2 linked regions of the Arabidopsis thaliana genome follow. The protein of the gene in region 1 purifies or fractionates together with the protein of each later gene. This does not show direct contact. Each region holds a gene or a part of one and is shown in the gene's direction. Other genes may lie near its edges.

Region 1 (6,145 bases):
CCGTCGCAGTCGCTGCCGCACCGGTGGAAAAAATGGCGACTACAACTTCGTCGGATCGCGAATTCGAGCTTGAGAAAGAGATAAAGAGGCAAGAGGTTTCGTTAGATGAATTGAGCAGTCTCTCTTCTTCTCGAAGTATCTACCAGAAAAACGGTAACCTCTTCTTCCTCACATCAGCCGAGAAAGCGAAAATCTCTGCGCAGAAACAACTTGATTACGCTAAATCTGAAATCAACAAGATTCGTTCGCAGAAATAAACAATGGAGATTTCTAGTTGCTGAAGATCCAACAAGGCTGTTCCTTTTTTTTATGATGTATCTCTGATTATTGATGCTATATAAATTTTCATTAGTTCGTGTATGATCTTGAACTATCTTGGAATTGCTTTAAATTACTTGATTTTGATATGATAATCAGCTAATTCTGATAGTAATTTTAATTCACCTTGAATTTACTTTGATCACTTTACATTTTGATTATCTGAATAGCTGATTCTAGTGTTGAGACTACTTGTTCTTGGTAACACTATATGGCCACTGAATAGTCAGGGTTAGTGCCTTAGTTTGGAATTATTCAATGGAACATTTTCTTTTACCTTGAGAAACAGAAAACATTTTCTTTAGGACAGATTTGTCAACTCTTTTGTCTAGCATTAAGATTCAATATCAGAATCAGAATCAGAAGAGAGATAATCATCTTCCTCAAGACTTGGAACTCAGTCATCATCCTCCACGAGAAGAGCTTCCAGTGCCTCGAGAGATTTTATCTTCCACTTCAAAAGCAGAATTCTCTGCGTCAATTCCTGAATTAGTTGAATGCTTCTTTTTCTTACTGAAAGCCTGAAGAAGAGCTCCACTAGTAAGCGACAGATTTTTGCTAGGTACCGCATCAAACCCCCTCTACATATGTTGGGTCTAGATTCACAGAGGCATTAGTGACAACTTCATGTGCTAGTTGCATTGCCATTCCTGGTCAGAGAAGTAAGTTAGCAGACGAGAGATCTTGATTTTCATCACACCAACCTGAGAGATATGAAAATTCAAGCAAATTAAGATCTTGTGAAATTACCTACACCCATGGATTTGAGTTAGGTTGAAGTGATTGAGTAGAGCTTCATCCTCAATTTTGGCAATTAACATATCCTGAAGTAACTACTCACCAGAGATGCAGCATATGGTAAGAGTTTGGCTGCAAAATGAATAAATACGAGGATGATGTTTAGCTTCCACGGCACAGAAAATGTGTTGTAACAATCATATGGACAATGCCTTCCTGCACATCCAATACCAATCAAAAATTTAAATTACATGACCGCAATATGGTTGCTAAAATAAATACAATACCTCACTAAATTCTAATAGCAATTAATCCGGATTTCTAGTAGGTTATGATTCTGCTACATCGGATTTAAACAGAGGAATTGATGCATAACTCTTACGTGTTAACCATTGAAATCAAAGTGGTAGAACATTCTTAGCACAAAACAAAGGTTAAATAAATGAAGCTAATTTTTTCTTTTATAATTTCAGGTTGGCTCCATGAATGTAATGGAATAAAAATCATACTAAAACAGAAAACTTTCTAGATACGCTAGGGTTGGATAATCTCGCTCTTATCTTCTTCTCTTCGTCAATCGATTCTCTTCTCCACTCTTCTGGAGAAGCTCTTGCTTATAACATAGTGATATCTGCATTTGACGTTCTCATGTCGAATGCTTCCGCCAAGAAGAAGAGAAAACTCGAGGAAACCGTAGATACGCCACCGACTAGGGTTGATGACAAAACCCTAGTTCTTATTTCTGATTCGAAAAAACCCAAATCAGATAGGGTTACCAAACTGAAGAGCAAAATTGGGTTGCTGAAGAAGAAGCCAAGTGATTTCGATCCGGAAAAGTGTCTTGTTGGGAGAAACGGGAGAGAGTTCCGTTTATGTTTCTCTCCTTAGCTTTTGATCTGATTGCAGCTGAAAGTGGCAGGATTGTCATCACTCATATTCTGTGTAACATGTTGAGAACCGTTATCGCCACTACTCCTGATGATTTGCTACCTACTGTTTATCTTGCTGCAAATGAGATTGCCCCTGCTCATGAAGGTATTAAATTGGGAATGGGTAAGGGTTCCTACATTATTAAGGCAATCTCTGAAGCTTTTGGTAGAACTGAGTCCCACGTTGAGCAGCAATATACGCAACTGGGAGACTTGGGGCTTGTAGCAAATGGGAGCCGTTCCTCTCAGACTATGATTTTCATGCCCAAACCATTAACTGTTGTCAAGGTTGCTGATACACTTCGCCTAATTGCTAAGGTATTTTAGACCATCTATCTCTATTTTTTTTACTCTAAAATAGAGCGTAGTAAAAATAGTTGCTCTGAATATAGAGCAATCCTCTCTTTTACTTTATTTTAGAGTGAGATACAAAAGTAGGTTGGAGAGAAATTTGCTCTATAATAGAGTTTAGAGGAGTGGGGTTGGTGATTCTCTTAGACACTTTCTTGTGTTTGCTTTAAATTTTCTTTCTTTTTGATTAGTTGTTGGACTATGTTATGTGTTAGGAATCTGGAAAAGGTAGTAAGGATAAGAAGAAGGATCTAATGAAGGCACTTCTTGTGGCAACTACAGATTGTGAACCTCTTTACTTAACTCGTTTACTTCAGGTATGTTAGATCAATTGTTACAAAAAAAAAAAATCTGCTCATTCCTTTGTGTTCCTTATTCCGTTACAATGCAGGATAATTTGCGGTTAGGGTTCTCACGTCAAACTGTTTTAGCTGCCTTGGGACAGGCTGCTGTATATAACGAAGAGCATTCTAAGCCGCCCCCAAATATCAAGAATCCTTTAGATGAGGTTTGCTTCTCAAGGATGTTACTTGTGGCTTTAGGCTCTATTTGCAGTATTCCTTTAGAGACGTCACAACTTACCTTGTTGTCTGTCCTTGTAGGCTGCAACGATTGTTAAAGAAGTATTCTCAATGCTTCCTGTCTATGACATTATTGTTGGTGCTCTTCTAACTAGTGGTGTATGGAATCTTCCTAAAACTTGTAACCTCACACTCGGTGTTCCAGTTAGGCCCATGCTTGCAAAAGCAACTACAAGAGTAGATCTCATACTTGAGAAATTCAAGGACACTGTTTTCACAGCTGAATACAAATATGATGGTGAACGTGCACAGGTGATCCATTGCTTTCTACTCTTATCCGATGAATGCTATTATTCGTAAAGCAAAGTTATTTATATGTGCTGCTACGTTTGGCTTTTCATCAATCTATTCTCGCAGATATATTATATGGAGGATGGTACAGTCGAGATATTCAGTAGACATGCTGAAAGAAACACTGGCAAGTACCCTGATGTTGCTCTTGTGTTATCAAGGTGCACTTGTTTGTTGTGTTGTTACTTGTTGAAAAAATTAGAATGAGCCCATATTTCTAATGAAGTTAGTGTAAATATCTTCTCTATACAGGTTAAAGAAGCCCACTGTGAAATCTTTTATTCTGGATTGCGAGGTTGTCACCTTCAACAGAGAAAAAGAGAAAATTCTTCCACTCCAGGTACCTCAATAGCCAGGCTTTATGGTTGCAAATATGAACATTCTTGTTTTTCTTCTTGTTAGCCAATGAACGATCAAATTAAGCTTAAGCTCTACTAGACCAGATTTTGGTGATTTGACAACAATTTTTTTTGCCAACATTAGTTTAAAGATAACTTGTTACAGTTACTGATAGTTTAGGTTTTTATATGTCTTGTTTTCTTTGTTTTCTTTTCTCAGACTTAGAGTACACGAGCCCATAAAAATGTGAATGTCAGTGATATCAAGGTTGGCGTATGCGTCTTTGCTTTTGATATATTATACCTAAATGGCCAACTACTTATCCATGAGAATCTGAACATTCGCCGAGAGGTAAGCCATATATTAGTAAATCGTAAAATGGTTTATCAGTGAAGCAACTAGTGTTGTGCAAATATGTAATCATTTGTTTGCACCTTGCTTCTGCCAGAAGCTACACGATTCATTTGAGGAAGATCTTGGGTATTTCCAGTTTGCAACTGCTCTAACATCCAACGATATTGGTGAATTACAAGAGTTTCTTAAAGCTTCTATTGACATAGGGTAAATATTCATATGACACTGCCTCATAATCTCTATGATGTTTCAATTCTTCATCACAAGTATGTTATTTTGGCAGATGTGAAGGTTTAATGATAAAGTCATTGTACTCAAATGCAACCTATGAGCCTGCAAAGAGATCAAATAATTGGCTAAAACTGAAGAAGGACTATATGGACAAGCAATAATACTCTTTTAAACAAAAAAAATTTAAAAGTTAAGATAGTAGAGTCCTTTACTAACTAACTCTAGGGTATATATGCTGCAGCATTGGAGATTCCGTGGATCTTGTACCAATAGCTACGTTCCATGGACGTGGGAAACGCACAGGTACAAACACCATTCGAAATGTGTAGATGATACATTTTTTTCACAAGTGATGTTGTTAACGGAAGCTATATGTATGCTCTCCTTATAGGTTTCTTTGGTGCATATTTACTAGCGTGCTACGATGTTGATAAGGAAGAATTCCAGAGCATTTGTAAAATTGGTCAGTCTAATGCACCTTGGCATTTCATTCTTTTTGTTATGTTTCTCAATTTCCTCTCCTACATTTTTGTTTACAAATTGGGCTAGTAGGTACTGAATTTTCTGATGTGGAGCTTCAAGATTTGTCTTCCAGTCTTTGCTCTAAAGTGATTGCTACTCCGAAAGTAAGATAATTATTTCTTCTCTCTAGCTTATTTGTTTGATGCAGTACCATATATGTTATGTTGCCTGAGAGTTCTTGCTGATTATAAACCAGCAATACTACCAAGTCGATAACGATCTCAATCCAGATGTCTGGTTGGAGCCCACCGAGGTATGCCTTATAGTAATATTTGTAGATAACGTACGTCCACGTTCTATCTTATGGGTCCAAGTGTATTGATGCAAAGCTAAATAATATGCTTGCTTGAAGGTGTGGGAAGTGAAAGCAGCTGACTTGACAGTTAGCCCTGTATATCGTGAAGCTATTGGAATTGTGGACCCTGACAAGGTTCAACATTAGCATACGTATTTTTTTTATATTTTTCTTCATTTGAGCTATTGCATTTACGATTGGACTTTTTCATTTTTCTGTTTGTTATGGTTAAAAGGGAATTTCTCTACGATTTCCTCGTCTAGTCCGTATACGGAAAGACAAGAATCCAGAGGAAGCAACAACATCTGACCAGGTGAAAGCTCTTCTCACCCTAACCACAATCATAGACATGACTAGGCTGGTTTCTGATTTTTGTTTTTAATTTATAAATTTCCGATGCATATTTTCAGATTGCTGAAATGTATCAAGCTCAGAAACACAATCAACCAAGCAATCAAGGCAAAGTGGACGACGATTGAACAACGACTGTAATTTGTTGTCGGAGCATCTTTCCAGACAAAATTTCTTTTTCATTACCAGTATGCACCCATTGTAATGAACGAATGATATTTGCGTGTTTATCATATTGCTTTTACTTTTCTTGGGCTCAACGTTTCCTTTTTCCTTTTTAACTTTTCATTTACCCATAGATCTATTCCAGTGGCCCGATTCCACAAAGTTTCTAGCTCAATTCTCAATCTAGCACAATAGAAAACAACCTAGGATCATCATTTACAAGCGATTTTTTTTTCGTTATCTCATCTGCCACTCAAAGGGCTAATCAAATGCTTGATGTTGTGAAACATTGGTCTTTGATATAATAAACTACGTATTCATTTCCAAAATAGTACGCTGATTAATGAGTTTAAGCTTGTTTAATTTGGAGCATTTCCTTGTCTCTATTCTTCTCATTCTTCCCCTTGGTTAGAACCCAATGACTAGTTTTTGTGTAGACCCTTGTATAGCTCTCCTTTGAGTTATAATGTATCTTTCGAAATACATATAAGGTATCGTTCTAAACCCAAACGTTACGGAAAATTCCGTAATGTCGCCAAACGAGAATCCAAGTAAGATTCCTCTTCATGTCTTTGATGTATTTGTCCTTTTAGAAATTGATCAAGGTATATAAGTACCTTCGGACTCTTAGGTTTATCGAGTTGGGTGACATTTCTCGGTTCATGCAGAGACATGACGCG
Region 2 (4,976 bases), on another chromosome or scaffold:
GTTTGCTTTTAAACCATATTCAAATTTTGTTGATTTGTTCATTGCAGACGCTTGAGATGCTAGAGAAAAAGGAGAAAGTACTCTTGAAGAAAGCTGGTGCAGAGGTTGAGAAGGCAAAAGAATACTCCCGGGCTAAGAACAAACGAGGTATGACCTCTTATTTATTATGACTCATGTGTGTTGCTAATCACTGGAGTACTTAAAAGCTGTATTGGGTTTTTGCAGCGGCTATACAGTGTTTGAAAAGGAAGAGGTTATATGAGGGACAAGTCGAACAGCTTGGGAATTTCCAGCTCCGTATTCATGATCAAGTGAGTTTGTTTTAAGATTGTTAACTATAAACTATATAGCAGTAATTAGATGAATTTATTGGGATCTTATATCTTTTTGTCATACAGATGATTATGTTAGAAGGTGCAAAAGCAACAACCGAAACTGTTGATGCATTGAGGAGTGGAGCTTCTGCAATGAAGGCAATGCAGAAAGCAACGTAAGTGTTCATCACATTTTCACCATATTACTCTTTACTACCATTTTAACCGTCATCAGTTCTGGGAATCGTTAATACGAGCTTGGTATTCAAAATACTTATGCTTTTCTTGTGCTTGAATGCTTTAACATTTCTAGTGCCTGACTAACTCAAAACACAATATTTTGCAGAAATATTGATGATGTGGATAAGACCATGGACGAGATCAATGAGCAAACCGAGAACATGAAACAGATCCAAGAAGCATTGGCGACTCCAATGGGGGCAGCGGCTGACTTCGACGAGGTAACTTTCTTGTACCCAAATGATCATATATTTTTCAACTAATAATGACTTTTGTCTAAGAAAAACTTCTCTTTGATAGGATGAGCTTGCAGCAGAGCTTGATGAACTAGAAAGTGAAGAGCTTGAATCGCAACTTCTACAGCCGGCAACAACAGCTCCTCCATTGCCTTCAGTTCCAGTGCCTGCAGGGCGTCAACCGGCTCGTCCTGTTCCCCAGAAGCGGACTGCTGAGGAAGAAGAACTCGCTGCATTACAGGCTGAGATGGCCCTCTAAGGTCTCTTCTATCTATAATCAAAGCAAAATCAATCAATTTGCTTACAGACTATGGATTTGTAATTTAACTAGTTTTGCAATTGGCTTGGTTTAACTGCAGGTTATTCACCTCTCCGAGCAGAGACATGTATGCATTGATAGACACGAACAGACGATGTATATAAGGATCTGAATCAGATTAATTCGGAGCGAAAAACTTTTATAATCCCCGTCGTTAATGTTATCTGCAATTTGAGTGTTCTTCACATAATTTATCTTTTGTAATTTTTGTATCTTTTTATGACACTTTTTCCTTTGGTTAATAATCACTTTACTCCTATGTTCATCACTTTCGCCTGATAAGACTACTCATGAATAGTCAACCATATACGTTGACTTCGCTGCTTTAACAAACATCATGCCGTTTTGGTACCATAAAATTGGACTCCGTGTCGTTTTAAGGTTAAATTCAAATTAATTGGAATAAAAAATGAAACAGAAAGCGAGGGATAATAACCCGCTTAAGTTTTCAAGGCTTCTTCTACAATTCTCTCATTTCGAATTTGATAAAGAGAGGAGACGATAGTGAGGGAAGAGAGTGAGAGAGAGCTGTAGCAGTGTTTGAAATCCTTTGGATTGCATCACCAGGAGCAAGAGATCACGATGGTAATATACTCTGGACGAATGTTCTCTACTTGTGATTTTGTTTCGCTAATGAACCTCTGTGATTTGTGCATTTTCCTGGGAAGATCGAGTGATTATTCTCTATGATTCTATGAATCGTGATTATCTTACACTGATGATCTTAGCTTGTGATTCTTCGACTTACAAGAGAATTTTGGATGTATTGATTCGACCTATTTGTTTGAATGTTTAGTAGTCATCGTTATGTGTTTCTCTTACTCTTCGAAGAAATTTGTTTAAACTTATCGTTCATCGGTAGTAATGTTTCTATCTTCCGTAGTTCATTACAAATTTGTGTGAGGAATTTCCGCAAACACTTGGACTGCATGACGCGAATCGATAGGTTCTCGAATTAGCATTTATCTAGCAGCCAATTCTCGCAATCAGTGTAGTCGCTGAGTTGACTGTATATATTTTTGACATTTTCGATCTGGAAACTATTTGTTGACAGATCATTTGTTGGATTTCGTCATTGAAGCTCTGAAGTTTTTTTTCGTCATTCTCGTATCAACTGAATCGCTGCTTTCTATTGTTGATGATATTCAGTCTAAGAAACGGGGACTTTCGCTGGAGGAGAAACGAGAGAAGATGCTTCAGATATTCTATGAGTCTCAAGACTTCTTCCTAGTGAGCACTTTCTTTAGTTTTTACAACTTGCTAATTTTTGGACGCCTTTGAACTAGCTTTATCTACCAAGTGATCTGATATCTAGAGTCGTGAAGTGCATATACTGCCTAAATTTGTTGCTATTGAACTTTTGGGTTTGTGATACAAGCACTTATGGGTCTCTACTTTTGTAAAAAAATTTCAGCTAAAGGAACTTGAGAAGATGGGGCCGAAGAAGGGTGTAATTAGTCAGTCTGTGAAAGATGTTATCCAGAGTTTAGTCGATGATGATCTTGTTGCGAAAGACAAGATTGGAATTTCTGTGAGTAGCTTAGTGTTCCTATGTTGGATCTTTTTATTTCATTTGTTGCCATATAGTCCTTGTCTCTGTTATATGTTGTTTGACGGTGTTCATTATTTTGCAAATGAAGATCTACTTTTGGAGCCTTCCCAGCTGTGCTGGCAATCAAGTGAGTCACCGTTCTGTATCCTGAGATGACATCAAAAAGATTCATATTAATTTGAGCATAGCGAAATTCATTGTTTCTGATCTCATTTTGAATGAACAGCTTAGGAGTGTTCGCCAGAAACTTGAATCTGATCTTCAGGGTAGTAACAAAAGGTTAGCAGAACTTGTTGATCAGTGTGAGGCCCTAAAGAAGGGAAGGGAAGAATCGGTAAGTATTTTCAGTATTGTAGAATTAATGCTCGAATAAGCTTACGTGTGCTTTTCACCAGAATTGCTGTTCTTGCTGCAGGAGGAACGAACAGAGGCCTTGACGCAACTCAAAGATATTGAAAAGAAACACAAAGATCTGAAGGTCAGATTATACAGACTATCTGTTTGCATAGAGCTATTCACATGCTTAACAAGTTGCTAACAGTTTCTTCTTCTTAAACAGAACGAGATGGTACAATTTGCTGACAACGATCCAGCTACTTTGGAGGCAAAGAGTTAAGTTCTGCATAATACGTTACTTTTGTTTTGTGTTAGATCTCCTATATGGTTTTCCCGGTCTTCGTGGAGCAGAAATAAGAATCAATCTTGTGCTTTACTAGCTGTATCAATGTGTATATTCCTTCTAATTTTGACAGGGAATGCAATTGAAGTTGCTCACCAGTCGGCTAACAGATGGACAGGTATTTCATTTCTAAAACTTGGGAATGTGTTTTCAGTTTTAATACTTACGTAATTTTCACTGCAGCCTAGATTATAATTCTTTCAAACTTACTCAGATAACATCTTCACACTGCGACAATGGTGTTCAAACAACTTCCCCCAGGCCAAGGAACAGCTAGAACATCTATACACGGAGGTATCTTCCAGATCTTTTCACTTCAAAAGGCTATAAATTCCACATTTCACATTCTCATACATGAAGGAGAGACTAAATCAGCTGGGTAACTTTCAGGCGGGAATCACTGAGGACTTTGATTACATAGAGTTATCATCATTCCCTTTGAGCTCATCCCATGAAGCTGATACCGCAAAGCAGCTAGTACAAGATGAAGCTTAGTTCTAATACTCTCCAGCATAACAGTTAAAGAAACAATAGCTTAAGTAAAAAATCTTTTCACTATCCTTTTAAGTTTTCTGGTTTTAAAGGTTGCAACAGTCTGTAATTCTCTATGTGACCCAATCATCTAATGTCAAAACTCGGTTACAAATTCTGTGGTCAGAAAAGATTTTTATTTTCTTTGTATCTGTCGGCTATGTCCAAGCTTGGCTATGTTTTGTTATAATATTTTATTGGAGTTATATATATATCATGCGTTAGTTGTTGACCCACTGGTTACTTCTTGATAGCTGTATTACCATTTTATATTCTTTCTTGGCCGCTTTTTTCAGTCGTGAGCAGCACTTATGTTATACACCTCCAGGTCAATTTTGTTGCTACCAGAAGAGGAAATGGGCATAGACTTTGTACTTTCTAGTCTTTTGTGTTTTTGTGTTATCTTAAACGCAGGTTGTCTGTTTTTCTGACGATGATGAGCTGAGCTTTACAAAATAAGAAGAACATGGGAGCTCACTCTGTTTTTCTCATCCTTTTTTCCGTCATTGCCATTGCCATTGTAGTACATGGCCAAGGCCAAGCAGGTTCGTGAGTCTCATTCTCGCTTATTTTCCTCTGTTAGAGTCTGTTTTGATTTGAAAATGAGCAATCTTCAGACCAAAGATTTTTGAAGTTTTGATATATGTGGTTGCATTTTGGCCAAAACCGTGTTCTGATTATTGGTTTGACATGATAAGTGAGGTCCAAGTCTGTTTCTATGATTGAATGCTTTAGGTTCTAAAATTTAAACCTGCATTGGAATTTTGATGAAAATTTTCTCAACGTTGTAGAATTAATCAAAACCCTTACCTTCTTCTGGTCCAGGTTTCATCAGCATAGATTGTGGGTCACCCCCTAATATTAACTATGTAGACACTGATACTGGTATCAGTTACACCTGGGATGCACCTTTCATCAACGCTGGAGTAAATCTGAACGTCTCTGAAGAATACGGTTACCCGAAAAACCCGGTTTTGCCTTTCCCGCTTGCTGATGTAAGATCTTTTCCTCAAGGAAACAGGAACTGTTACACCTTAACCCCCTCCGATGGAAAAGGGAATCTTTATCTCATCAGAGCTTCGTTTATGTATGGAAACTACGATGG

The links.
Region 2: the proteins of AT1G49250 (region 1) and ATMND1 fractionate together in Arabidopsis thaliana (co-fractionation; one large-scale study listed by BioGRID). This does not show direct contact.

Annotation. Positions count from the first base shown.
Region 1 is NC_003070.9:18,218,829-18,224,973, forward strand, and holds AT1G49250 (ATP-dependent DNA ligase), read left to right. Parts: upstream 1-1,704; coding exon 1,705-1,873; intron 1,874-1,962; coding exon 1,963-2,303; intron 2,304-2,551; coding exon 2,552-2,653; intron 2,654-2,727; coding exon 2,728-2,844; intron 2,845-2,938; coding exon 2,939-3,169; intron 3,170-3,274; coding exon 3,275-3,369; intron 3,370-3,373; exon of another isoform or gene 3,374-3,460; coding exon 3,461-3,548; intron 3,549-3,772; coding exon 3,773-3,898; intron 3,899-3,995; coding exon 3,996-4,108; intron 4,109-4,184; coding exon 4,185-4,286; intron 4,287-4,373; coding exon 4,374-4,435; intron 4,436-4,523; coding exon 4,524-4,595; intron 4,596-4,684; coding exon 4,685-4,758; intron 4,759-4,850; coding exon 4,851-4,907; intron 4,908-5,006; coding exon 5,007-5,084; intron 5,085-5,184; coding exon 5,185-5,262; intron 5,263-5,359; coding exon 5,360-5,428; 3' UTR 5,429-5,497; downstream 5,498-6,145. Other genes in the region: AT1G49245 (Prefoldin chaperone subunit family protein), read left to right, coding at 33-257.
Region 2 is NC_003075.7:14,381,294-14,386,269, forward strand, and holds ATMND1 (Mnd1 family protein), read left to right. Parts: upstream 1-1,542; 5' UTR 1,543-1,691; coding exon 1,692-1,694; intron 1,695-2,163; exon of another isoform or gene 2,164-2,258; coding exon 2,259-2,339; intron 2,340-2,523; coding exon 2,524-2,640; intron 2,641-2,749; coding exon 2,750-2,788; intron 2,789-2,887; coding exon 2,888-2,995; intron 2,996-3,076; coding exon 3,077-3,139; intron 3,140-3,220; coding exon 3,221-3,272; coding exon of another isoform or gene 3,273-3,277; exon of another isoform or gene 3,278-3,413; coding exon 3,414-3,458; intron 3,459-3,554; coding exon 3,555-3,634; intron 3,635-3,730; coding exon 3,731-3,835; 3' UTR 3,836-4,172; downstream 4,173-4,976. Other genes in the region: SNF7.1 (SNF7 family protein), read left to right, coding at 48-147, 226-311, 399-490, 661-775, 855-1,049; RHS16 (root hair specific 16), read left to right, coding at 4,338-4,416, 4,697-4,976. UniProt on the Arabidopsis thaliana protein: Required for proper homologous chromosome pairing and efficient cross-over and intragenic recombination during meiosis.